Rattus norvegicus: one gene and its partners. The protein of the gene in region 1 interacts with the protein of each later gene in a pairwise test. Links are inferred from orthologs where the notes say so. Each region holds a gene or a part of one and is shown in the gene's direction. Other genes may lie near its edges.

Region 1 (3,500 bases):
AGAGAGTTTCAGGACAGCTAGGGCTACACAGAGACACTCCATGTAAGTAAAATGTAAAATAAAACCCTTCTAAAACGTATAAGAAAGTATAAACACTAATTTTGACTTTTTTTTTTTTTTTTTTTTAGGAAAATGTCAGATGAATTTTCGGTAAGTTGAACCTTGCTAAGTGTTTGTTTGTTTGTAATGGAAAGCCTAGTTCTGGCGAGAAAAGTGGAGCATGCTTGTAATGTTGTCAGCCCTATAGAGGTTGGGGTAGGAAGAGTGTGAGTTCCAGGCAAGCCTGAGCTATACAGTGAGACCCGACCCGCTCTCCTTATGAATAGAGAAAAAACTTTTAAAGCATAGTTTTTACTGTAAACCATCCCCATCCTTTTTTTTTTTTTTTTTCTTAAAAGGATACATGCTTGGACTTCTTAGGTGTATGACTTTGAGAATTATTTTTATGTATGTGTGTTAGTGTGCAGGTGACCTTAGAGGGAGACCATGTGTTGGATCCCATAAAGCTAGAATTACAAGTGGGACCATCCCGCCAGCCACTAGACATGACCTTGACAAGTGATTTGCCTATGTCTCTGCACACACACACACGGGGGGGAGGGGGATCATTGGTTGTAAAGTATCTAGGCATGGTTATAGTCTTTAATGAAATTTTTTGTTATTTTTCTCTTTGTCTGGCAGTAATATTAGAATCCTAATACCCAGGGATCACAAGCCTCTATTCATCTGAGAACCTCCTCTTAAAGACCTTGAGATGTTACCTTGCACATTTATTGAGAGTTATCAGCCAGACATAGTGGCATGGTACATGCCTATAATCTCAGCACTTGAGAGGTAGAGGCAGCAGGATTACAAATTTACGGCTGGGGCTAGAGAGATGTCTCAGTGGTTAAGAGTACTTGGTGCTCTTCCAGGAATCTGAGTTTGGGCCCCGCTATACTTCAGGGGGCTCATAATCACCTGTAATTCCAGTTCCAGGAGACCTAAACCGCCTTAGCCTCTGCCAGCACCAGGCATGCATGTGCTGCGTTTAAATGCATGGAGGCACATGGTTTTAGCCTGCTTTCTGGTGCTGTGATGCATGGCCAACAGCAACGTAGGAGAGAAAGGGTCGGCTTCATCCCACAGGTTGTAGTCCATCATGACGCCGAGCCAGGGCAGAACTCAGGGCAAGGTCTGGAGTCCGGGACTAGAACATCAGCCTTGGAGGAACCCTGGCTTCTTCTCGGAGGCACATTTAGCTTCCTTTGTTAAGGAATCTCCCAGAACTACCTTTCCAGGCATGATGCCTCCCACAGTGGACATTAATCACAAAAATACCCAGGGTTTGCCTGCAGGCCACCAGTCTAGTAGAAGCATTTTCTTAATTGAAGTTCACTCTTCCCAGATGATTCCAACTTACATCAAGTTGGCAAAACAAACCAACCACCATGCACAGAATAAATACAAATAAGTTGTTTTTAAAGTTCAGGGTCAGCCTGGGCTACAATGAAACCTTCTCAAAAAGAATGTGTTTTAATGTGTGAGGTAACATCTCAAGGTCTTTAAGAGGAGGTCCTCAGATGAGTAGAGGCTTGCGATCCCTAGGTATTGTGCATGGTTTGTATGGGATTATCATCGTGTTTGGTTTGACTCACCGCTGGGGAAGAGAGCTGACGCTCACCCATTTTGTGTTACAGTTGGCAGATGCGCTACCTGAACAGTCCTCTGCCAAAACGCCTGCTGTGACCAACACAAAAGCTGGCCATTCTCCTCAGGGCTGGCCAGGCTCCAGCCCTTGGAGTAATCCAAGCGCCCCCCCTGCAATGCCGTCTGGACTCCCACCGAGTAGTGCAGCACCCTCTACTGTGCCTTTTGGACCAGTACCAACAGGAATGTATCCCTCCATGCCTCCAGCCGGACCACCCCCAGGACCCTTTCCTCCTTCTGGACCATCATGTCCCCCACCTGGTGTTCCTTATCCAGCCCCTGCTGTGCCAGGCCCTGGCCCCACAGGGCCATACGCTACACCAAATATGCCCCTTCCAGAGCTACCTAGGCCATACGGTGCGCCCACAGATCCAGCTGCAGCTGGTACTTTAGGTCCATGGGGATCCATCTCTTCTGGACCTTGGGCACCAGGAATTGCGGGGCAGCATCCTAATATGCCGTATCGATCTCCAGGGCCATACCCCACTGTTCCTCCTCCAGTGTCGGGAGCACCGCCTGTTCCGTGGGGCACTGTGCCACCGGGAGCCTGGGGACCACCAGCACCATATCCTGGCCCCGCAGGATCATACCCCACGCCAGGACCCCACCCTACTCTGAATAATCCTTACCAAGTGCCTTCAGGACCTGCTGGTGCTCCGCCAATGCCTGGTGGCCCCCACGTAAGTGTTGCTTGTTATTACCTGTGCAGTCAGAGTCATGCTGGCTCAACCAAAGGTCATTGGGAATAGAGACCTTCTAATACAGTACTTAAAAGGGTGTGATCTATAAACTGAGTAAATGTGAGACGTTCAGGTGAGGTGTGGCATTTCAAAGGGCAGAAGATAGAAAAGGAAGAGCCTAAGGACACCGCACTGTGCTCCTCGCACCCTTAGGTGACTAAAGTGCGCGTGCCATGGGCTGTTCTACAAATCCTTTGTCCTTTTACTGCATCATGCTGATGTGCCTGCCGCTTAAGAACAAGCTTGTCTGAGTTGTGGAGAGGACATGGGGACACATTGCCCATCTCACACAGGTCTCCCTGGGACTTTAGAGCCGGCCACTATTCTAAAGCAGTCTGTTACTCCCATCATCAGGTAGCTAAGCAGATGTCCACACTGAGTAATTAAATAACCCATCTGTCTCAGCAGTAAAGAGAAACATTCCTAATGAGGTGTCCTCCGAGATTTTATTAGTATAGCTTCTTGATAGATGCATGTTCTTTCCTCAAAAAAAAAAAAATGTTTGCAAAGTGTGTCACAATAAGTAACATAATAAGTTTATTTTAAGCCACCACCAAGAGTCAGTAACTACACATACTGATTATATGTCAGAAGTATGGAGGTCTTTGTGCTCACAGATAACACAAAGGGGAACCAGGAATGTTAAACACACAGGGTTGTCTCCTCTAAGGAGGAGATGTATAACCTGTTTCCTCCCAGAAGACTGGGAGTAGATGTGGTTAATAACTGGTGACCTTTGTGCTGTCTGTGTGGCCAAGACCACCCTGAGCCCTCCCCAGACACTTACGGTGAACTTGTCAATCTATAGAATGCATCTTTATGGAAAATGGGTGTACTTAACAGAGTTTCAATGTAGTTATGTCCTTAGCTTTATTGTGCACATGGGATTGAGTTATTTATTTTTAGGAAAATTTCACCAAGTTGTGCTGTGCTTAAATGTGCCTAAAATAAACTATTCAGCATCAGACTCCCAAAGTTTGAACCAGAACTGACTACTAAGCCATACTGCCTCCTCCCTTCCTACCTCTGTATATTACTAAATAATGCGGGTGCTAAACTGGTAGCATTATA
Region 2 (4,012 bases), on another chromosome or scaffold:
GAGATCAGTTTTTCTTTTCTTCTCAAATGTTTATTTTTGTGTCTGCGTGAACCTACGACACGCATGCGCAGGTGGTCCCCAGGATGAACCAGATCAGCCTCTGGAAGAGCATAAGTGTTCTTGACCACTGAGCCTCCCCACCAGCCCCATCAGTGTTCTGTTGGAGAAGCAGGGATGCTCAGATAAGCCCGCTTGCCTCTCGGGCTGCTGTGTGGGACTGGATGAAACTGCATTTACAGGACGCCTTGCAAACTGTGATAGTCACCTGACACACAAGCAAGGCCTTCTTGGTGTTGGACGAATCCAGAATCCGTTCACCGAGGGCCTCTCGCTCCAGAGCCTCTCCGTCTCCTTGAGCGCGCACAACACAACTTCTGCAGACAGCTGCGTCGGTTCCTCACTCTGTGCGTGCCCATGAGGAAACGGGAAAAGTGTAATCACGGTCCTAAGAGACGTCGCCTCTACCCTTCAGGACAACTGGGAGTGGGCTAAGGCACACACAACGTCTGTAGGAGACTACAGGCCCCCTTAGGACGTGCCAGGCCAGGGTCAGCCTGCGCGGGGCACGGTCCATCTCAGGGCAGGAGCTTGATGCGGTGTCATGGTTTGTATCAGGGCGCCAAGCAGGGCGCGGGGACACGGTCTACCTCCGCACGGATCCGGGCGCGGGGGCAAGGTCACCGACCCCGGGCGCTGGACCGTCAATAGGAGGCCTGGAAGAACCGGAACGCGGGACAGGCTAGGATCTGAGGTCCAGAGGTGGCTCAGAGCAAGGGCGCCGCCCTAAGACAAGCCCTCTACGAACTTCAGGGCCCGGTGTGAGGGGTGGGCGGGGCACTGGTGAAGGCGGGGCATGCGGGGAGGAAGGGCTCGCGGTGAGGAGGAGGTGCGCGGTGAGGGCGGGGCCACGCAGGGAGGGCAAGGAGGGCGGGGCTACACGATGAGGGCGGGGAGCGCGGTCAGGGCGGGGCCACGCAGGTATGAGGGGCACGGGGTGAGGTGGGGCCGCGCAGGGAGAGCGGGGACCCCGGGGAGCGTGGGGAGGGCGGAGTCACGCAGGAATGAGGAGCTTGGGGTGAGGGCGGGACCACTCAGGGAGGGCGGAGTCACGCAGGGAGGGCGGGGCATGCGGTGAGGGAGGGGAGCGCGGTTTGGGCGGGGCCGCGCGGGAGAGCGGTGTGGGCGAGGAGGGCGGGGCCACGCAGAGGATAGCGGGCACCGGGTGAGGCGAGGCCGCGCAGGAAGAGCGGGGAACCCGGGGAGCGCGAGGAGGGCGGAGCCACGCAGGAAGGGCAGGGCATGAGTTGAGCCTAAAGCGCGAGGTGAGGGGGAAACCGCGCAGGGAGGGCGGGGCCGCGCGGGAAGGAGCTGCGCGAGGTGAGAGCAGAGCGCGCAGGGAGGGCGGGGCACCCGAGAAAGGCGGGGCTGTAAGCGCCCTCCTTGCAGCGACTGGCGGGCCTGCGAGGGGGCGGGGTTTCCGGCGGCAGTGCACTCGGGCATCGACTGACGCAGAGTGGACGGGCGTCACGTGACACGGAAGTGACTCCGAACAGGAAGAGGACGAGAAAAATAACCGTCCGCGACGCCGAGTGGAAGTGGATTAGAGCCACCATGAACAGCAAAGGCAAGGCCGGGAAGCGGCGGAGGTCGTCGGGGACGCGGGCGGGTTCGGGTCGAGTGGGCCCGGGGGCGGCGGGCTCGGGGCGGTCAGGGCCGCTCTCCTCAGCAGGCCGCGGAGCGGGGCCGCACCTGACGTGTCCGCCCCCCCTCCCCCACACACCGCAGCAACTCGGCTCTCCGGGCCCCGGCCCCATAAACTCTGTGGCGCAGTTTGGAGCCGCGGGCTCCAGTGTGTGAGGTGGGGGTGTTTTTCCGTGACTGACACCGGCTGGAGCGAATGGGGAGCTAGAGCAGGGATTTGGGTAGGCCAATGGAGGACCGGCAGAGGCGGGGCGCCGCGCTTCGGAACAACAGGCCTTGGCCGAGCTTAACTCGTGAGGTGCCGGCTCTGCTGCCCAGTCCCGGCCTTCAAGGATCCTTTCCCGCCTGCCTTCGACTTTTCGCGCTCCCTCCTCAGGGCCAGGATTTATAGTCGTGCCTGTGCTAATGTTTGTCAGACCATGGTCGCGTTTACCTCCCGCCCCCAGCCGCCGCCCTTCTCATGGTTAACTTCCATTCACTCACTCTTTGGAAGTCGACCTTGAGTAGGAACCAACCCGTGAGGTAACACGCAGAACCGTGGGTTCCACAGAGTCTGCACTGGTTACCGCACAGTCCGTGGGAGACTACCCGGACTAGAAGTCCCCCCAAAACACCAGCAATCCAGAATCCCCGGCACGGGTTCTCAGACCTGTCCTTTATTTGGGAGGGAACGGGGCCAAGTTACACTTGATTCCTCCATCAGTATGCTAGTGGGAACAGCGCCTTCTGCCCAGTCAGAACCCAGCACCTTCCACTGTGAGGGTGCAGAGACAATCTTTTATTTTCTTGGCTCTAAGAGCTAAGGCCCTGTGGGGCAATCTGTTTGCAATTCTTCTGCTTGAGCTCACCAAGTTAACTGCCCGTTTTACAAATTTTTTTTATTGTCTGTGAATGTGAGGGTAGGTGCCCACAAAGACAGAAGCTAGAGTTGAAAAGAGGTTGTGTCAGATGTGGATGCTGGGAACAGAACTTGGGTCCTCAGGAAGAGTGGCATTTTGTCAGGAGCATCTTTCCTATTTGCCACCTCCCTAATTTGATAGACAACATCTCTCTTCCCCTTTTGTATTCCAGGTCAATATCCAACACAGCCTACCTACCCTGTGCAGCCTCCTGGGAATCCAGTATATCCTCAGACCTTACATCTTCCTCAGGCTCCACCCTATACTGATGCTCCACCTGCATACTCAGAGGTACTGCACTTTGCTAGACTTTTAACTATTTGAATACACTCTTGGACCCCTCCCCCATTGTTAAATCTTCAAATTCAGAAGCAGAGAATGCTCTATGAACCGTCTAAAACATAAGTTAATAATTACCATTGGAATTGAACGCATTATCTGCTTGTTATTTGACATGCTGAGTTAGGCTGAGTTTGGGTCCCTTGAGCCCAGTAGTAGCTGTGGATGCAAATGACCCAGAAACTGTGTGCCAGTGACAGTAACCAGTGTGATCCACACACACAAGAACTGAGAATGGACTCATGAGCCATGCGTGGTGGTAAGACCAGTAGTCTCAGCACACGGAAGGCTCAGGCAGGAGGAGCTTGAGGTCAAGACTGTCTTGGGCTATAGAACCAAACCCCATTTCCAAAACAAAACAAGGGGCTGGGGATGTAGTTGATTTGGTAGAGTGCTTGCTTAGCATGCACCAAGCCCTGGATTTGGTCTCCAGCCCAATGTGAGCTGGATTTGGTGGTGCAGGCTTTTATTTCCATCAGTCAAGAGGTCAAGGCAGGAGAGTCAGGAGTTGAAGGTCATCCACTCCTACATTCTTGCAGGCTAGCCTGAAGTACAGGAGATGGTCTCAGCAATACTTAGAGGAATTTCAAATACCAGTGTCACAGAAATATTTTGCCTTCTCTTCTGCTTCTTTTAGCTCTATCGTCCAAGCTTTGTTCATCCAGGGGCTGCCACAGTCCCCACCATGTCAGCTGCATTTCCTGGCGCCTCGTTGTATCTGCCTATGGCCCAGTCTGTGGCTGTTGGGCCTTTAGGCTCCACGATCCCCATGGCTTATTACCCAGTTGGTCCCATCTATCCACCTGGCTCGGCAGTGCTGGTGGAAGGAGGGTACGATGCAGGTGCCAGATTTGGAGCTGGTGCCACCACTGGCAGCATTCCTGTGAGTATGCCTAACCAAGAGCTCAGCCCTCGTGCACTTGAACCGTCTGAAATGACTTCATACTCATTCTCCTACCATCCCAGGGTAGTAGTAGTCAGGACTGGCACAGCTGCTGCCCTCTCATGACAGAAATGTGGCTGGGCCAATCAGGGCATTGGGCACAGTCCTTAGAGTTAATCAGATTCATTTG
Region 3 (4,260 bases), on another chromosome or scaffold:
GGCTGCTCTTCCAGAAGACCCCAGGTTCAATTCCCAGCACCCACATGGCGACTCCAGTTCCAGGGAATCTGACGCCCTCACACAGACATATATGTAGACAAAATGCCAAATGCACATAAAAATAACTTTTAAAAAAACACGTTAATAATGCACACATACACACAAGCACAAAGAGGGTCTTTAATTTTAGAAGCCCAAGCTGGTTTTGTACTTGTAAGATTTTCGAGCCTCCTCAACCTTCTAAATGCCAGAAGTATATAGGCCTGCACTTCCAAGCCTGGTCATTCCAGAGTTCTTGGGTTCTTGCAAGCGCTTCAAGACTCGGAACCACGTGTGTTCCCGAAGATCCGGTGACTCCGGAAAAACCAAAACCAAAACCAAAACTGTCTCACTGCTGACTCTTGCAGGTGTGAGGCAGCCCCTTTCCAAATAGCGATAAGGTCTTTGAACAAAACCGGGGGCGCGGTGAAAGGGGCCCACCGGAACCAGAACGCAGCGTCGATGGCGCAGGCGGACCCGGAAGCAGCCTGTCACCATCGCAGGGACCATGAACCGCCCTTTGTTCATCCATAACGCCTAGCTCGCAAATCCAAAAGTCCCTACCGGCGCCGGATACAGCCAGCCTCCCGCTGCCCGCGCGCACCTGCGGCCTCCGCCGTCCGCGCCGCGCACACAGCACCAAGATGGCCCCGGCCCAGCCCCGGGGATGCGCTCGCCTAGACGCTCCGCAGTGGGAAAGACAGGCAAAGTCGCTCGGCTCTCTAGGGAGCGCGGCGCAGGCCCCGCGGCACGGCGCCCTTCCTACGTCGTCACCGTTCAGCTCCCGTCACCTCCCGTCCACCCGCCGCCAGCAGATAGCACGGCCTCCAGGCCCTGGTCTCCGTGCCCCGCTTCCTTTTGCACCCCGCCACGCAGGCCCCCGGCCGGCTCACCGCGGTGGAGCCCTTCTTGACCGCCTCCTGCGCGTACTCCACTTGGAAGAGGTGGCCGTCGGGCGAGAAGACGGTGATGGCGCGGTCGTAGCTCATCACTGCGGACGCGCGAGCTCAAGCCGCCGCCGCTCAAAAGCGCACACTCACCTTCAGCGCCCCGCCCGCCCGGGCCACGCTGCTGGCGTCTGCAGCGTCCGGCGTCAGGGGGACGTGCGGCGCGGCGCGGCGGGGCGGGGCAGGGCGGGCGGAACCACCGAAACCCAGCACAGGGGGCAGCGTAGCGGCAACCTGCTGGAGGCAGAGCGGAGGCCGGTTGTAGGGGGGCTCCGCACGGGATCCGGTCCCGGGAGGCAATCGAATAAGGCGCGGGGACGCGGGGGCCTCGAGCGCGCATTGGCGATAGGCAGGCGGGCGAGCCCACGGCACCGCGCCCCCCGCGCCCCCGCCCCCGCGCTGCGGAGAATGGGCACCTCGGGCCGCGGGGCGCAGCCGGAGAATAAACCCCAATGATCACGGGCTGAGTCCGCACCACCACCATGTCCGTGGCCTTCGCGTCGGCGCGGCCGAGAGGCAAAGGGGAGGTCACTCAGCAGACCATCCAGAAGGTGGGCAAGGCCGAGGGGGTACAGAGTGCGGGTGGGCGCGGGACAGGAACAAAGCCGGGGCACAGCCCGCTGCACGGAGCCCTGACGGCGGCTCCGCGCGCCCCCTGGAAAGCCTGCGCCAACTTTGCCGGAGGCATTGGCAGCGGGGGCCAGGCGGCCGCAGTGGGTGGGGACCCTGAAGCACGTCGCGCGGTGTCCTCCGAGAGCGCCCCAGGCAGCAGACGCGGCAGTGCGAGACGCCGGGGCCCGCGGCCCCTCCAGCGGGGCGGGGGCTCGTCGCGCTCCGCTGACAGTCCTGGTAGCGACGGTCGCGCGCCTTTGCGCGCAGCTTGGCGAGTGGAGAAGGGGGCGCAGGCAGCCTGGAGGCACGCCGCTGCGGCGAGCTGGCGGCTCTCGTGAGGTACTGCGGTGCCCTGCACAAAGGGATGCATCCAAAGTGTGCGTGCCATCCCCAGGGCCTGCACCGCTGTCCGAAGCTTGCTGCCCGCGGCGGACCTGAGGCCAGCGCAGCCCCGCCCACGCTTGGGCCGCTGGGCATCAGCGAGCCTCGCCTCCTGCACCCTGGCTTCAGACACCGCAGGTTTGTCCTGCAGTCTCTCTCATCCTTTAGTTTGGGCCAGTTTCCCATAGAAGGCGTTTGCGTGGGTTTGTGGGACGTCTTTAACAAAAGGAAGTTTCAAGTTTTGACATAGACACTTTAGCTTTTTACTGTTTGCCTTCGCTGTTCTGAGCTTCTTGCGCGCCGGCTTTTAATTCTGGTTCCTTCTACAGAATTCCTGAATTCCCTTGAGCCAGTTAGGTCCCTAAGGGCATTGGCCTTTCTACTCCCTCATGACCCGAGAGGCTTGTGGGGATTTCCTTCACTTGTCGCCTGTTTCCCAGGTCACCCTTGCTGTCTCCTTAGGTATATAGTGGTTATCACAGTTGGCAAGCCCTAGTCAGGGGAGATTATTGGAGCAGAGCAGAAATACAGGTTTTGTACTTCTTGCCACATTTAACTTTTTGCAGAAGTGACTTAGTGAAGGAGGCTGAGACTGCACAGGCTACGTGGGAGAGCTAATAGTAGCCCTTCCGTGTGACTCCATAGGCTGCTGTTCCTTTGGAAGTGGGTCTTCAGTTCAAGGTCCTTGACCCGGTAGGGCTGTGCGATCCACTTCCTGTCTCTGTGAATCCTTTACTGAGAAGGCTCGAGGGGATGTGTACTCTGACCTGTCTTGGTGATGTAATCACATTCTGAAGCAAGTGCTACAAGATGGAAAGTTTAGGGACAACCTGAGCTACATGACAAAGTCCAAGGGCAGCTGAAGCTGCATAGCAAGATCCTGCATGGAAGCCAAGGTCTAGGGATGTGTCTTAGTAGAAAGACTCTTTTTTTTAATTTTTTTATTTTTTAATTTTTTTTTGGAGCTGGGGATCGAACCCAGGACCTTGCGTTTGCTAGGCAAACGCTCTACCACTGAGCTAAATCCCCAACCCCAGTAGTAAGACTCTTGTTTAGCACACAAAGCGTTAAACTATACACACACACACACACACACACACACACACACACACACCCCACACAGGGCTATGTATGTATCTTAGTAAAACTCTTGTCTAGCATGAAAAACCCTAAACTACACGCACGCACGCACACAGGCACGCACACACGCTAACCAGCCCCTGCTAAGACCACTGGGGAGAGCCAGGGATTTGGGAGAAGGCTGGTCAGTGGTCAAAGCAAACAAAGTAACAGCTTGTTTTGGGAGGACAGATCCTGCTCAATCTTCAGAGCACCGCAGAACAACCTCTCCTTAATCTTCTCTTGAGAGACACAAGGCCATTGTAGGACTTTGAGGCATTGTCGGTGGCATACAAGTGAGTTAGCATGTACTGAGGTAGCCTTTGCTGGTCCCTAGTCTTGCATGGTACACCCTGTATACTATAGAATCTATAGCACAGGTTCTGCCTAAGCGGATATATCCGTGCCCCTTAACTCTCTGACTCGCCACAACCCAGGTGATATTAGACAACCGTCTTCATTCGCTCACACTGCTGAGGTGTGAGCAGTGGCTGCCTCCCTTCCCTCCTGAAGTTCCAGAGGAGGCTACCTCATACCTTCTCAACTTCACGTGGCTGCCACAGCCTTTGGTGTCCTTCGGTCTGCAATGAGATCTCTGTTTTCCTCTTCTGGGATCTCCTTGCCTGTTTTTCTACCTCTTCTTATAAGGATAATGATAACGTTTCTTTGCAAATAGACTTCTTTCCAAGTTGAGTGGCTTTCTGCAGAAGCAAGGGTGTAAAGTCAGGGAGTTTGGGCAGGCAATGGGTAGTTCTACATGTGGCCCTGCAGGGAGTGGGGACCCAGAGTGGAAGCCTGGAGAGCTGGCCTGACCTGGAGCAAGTGAGCTTGCGGTGACAGCACTGGCACCGGAGAGGGATGGAGTCAGAACTGTGCTTTTGTGTGGACAGTGTGGGTGCCTGGGATCCTGAGATGTCTGCAGCTGGCAGAGACACCACTGACCAAGGACCAAATCTGTCTTCCTCTGTACTAGCTAAGGGCCATAGTATACCAATGTCCAGCACTATGCTCCTGCCTATAAGAAGGCCCACTGGACGCCCCCTGCTGTTTCATACAACAATTACACAGTGAAAGTCATGTGTCTCTGTTGCTGATTATATTGGCTTTTTTTTTTATTCTTAAGTACATACATGGATACATGTGACACGGTGTACAGGCAGAG

What was found.
Region 2: the proteins of Mapk1ip1l (region 1) and Dazap2 interact in binary tests that used the Homo sapiens proteins (3 or more experiments, as listed by UniProt). The link is inferred for Rattus norvegicus from reciprocal best matches to the Homo sapiens genes MAPK1IP1L and DAZAP2.
Region 3: the proteins of Mapk1ip1l (region 1) and Ss18l1 interact in binary tests that used the Homo sapiens proteins (3 or more experiments, as listed by UniProt). The two-hybrid records come from large-scale screens. The link is inferred for Rattus norvegicus from reciprocal best matches to the Homo sapiens genes MAPK1IP1L and SS18L1.

The regions. Positions count from the first base shown.
Region 1 is NC_086033.1:23,034,768-23,038,267, forward strand, and holds part of Mapk1ip1l (MAPK-interacting and spindle-stabilizing protein-like), read left to right. Parts: intron 1-128; 5' UTR 129-132; coding exon 133-150; intron 151-1,679; coding exon 1,680-2,369; intron 2,370-3,500.
Region 2 is NC_086025.1:133,592,325-133,596,336, forward strand, and holds the start of Dazap2 (DAZ-associated protein 2), read left to right. Parts: upstream 1-1,212; 5' UTR 1,213-1,322; intron 1,323-1,377; exon of another isoform or gene 1,378-1,446; 5' UTR 1,447-1,611; coding exon 1,612-1,624; intron 1,625-2,772; coding exon 2,773-2,891; intron 2,892-3,576; coding exon 3,577-3,822; intron 3,823-4,012. UniProt on the Homo sapiens protein: In unstressed cells, promotes SIAH1-mediated polyubiquitination and degradation of the serine/threonine-protein kinase HIPK2, probably by acting as a loading factor that potentiates complex formation between HIPK2 and ubiquitin ligase SIAH1.
Region 3 is NC_086021.1:187,520,156-187,524,415, forward strand, and holds the start of Ss18l1 (calcium-responsive transcription coactivator), read left to right. Parts: upstream 1-1,460; 5' UTR 1,461-1,468; coding exon 1,469-1,537; intron 1,538-1,921; exon of another isoform or gene 1,922-2,117; intron 2,118-4,260. Other genes in the region: Psma7 (proteasome subunit alpha type-7), read right to left, coding at 933-1,028. UniProt on the Homo sapiens protein: Transcriptional activator which is required for calcium-dependent dendritic growth and branching in cortical neurons. Recruits CREB-binding protein (CREBBP) to nuclear bodies.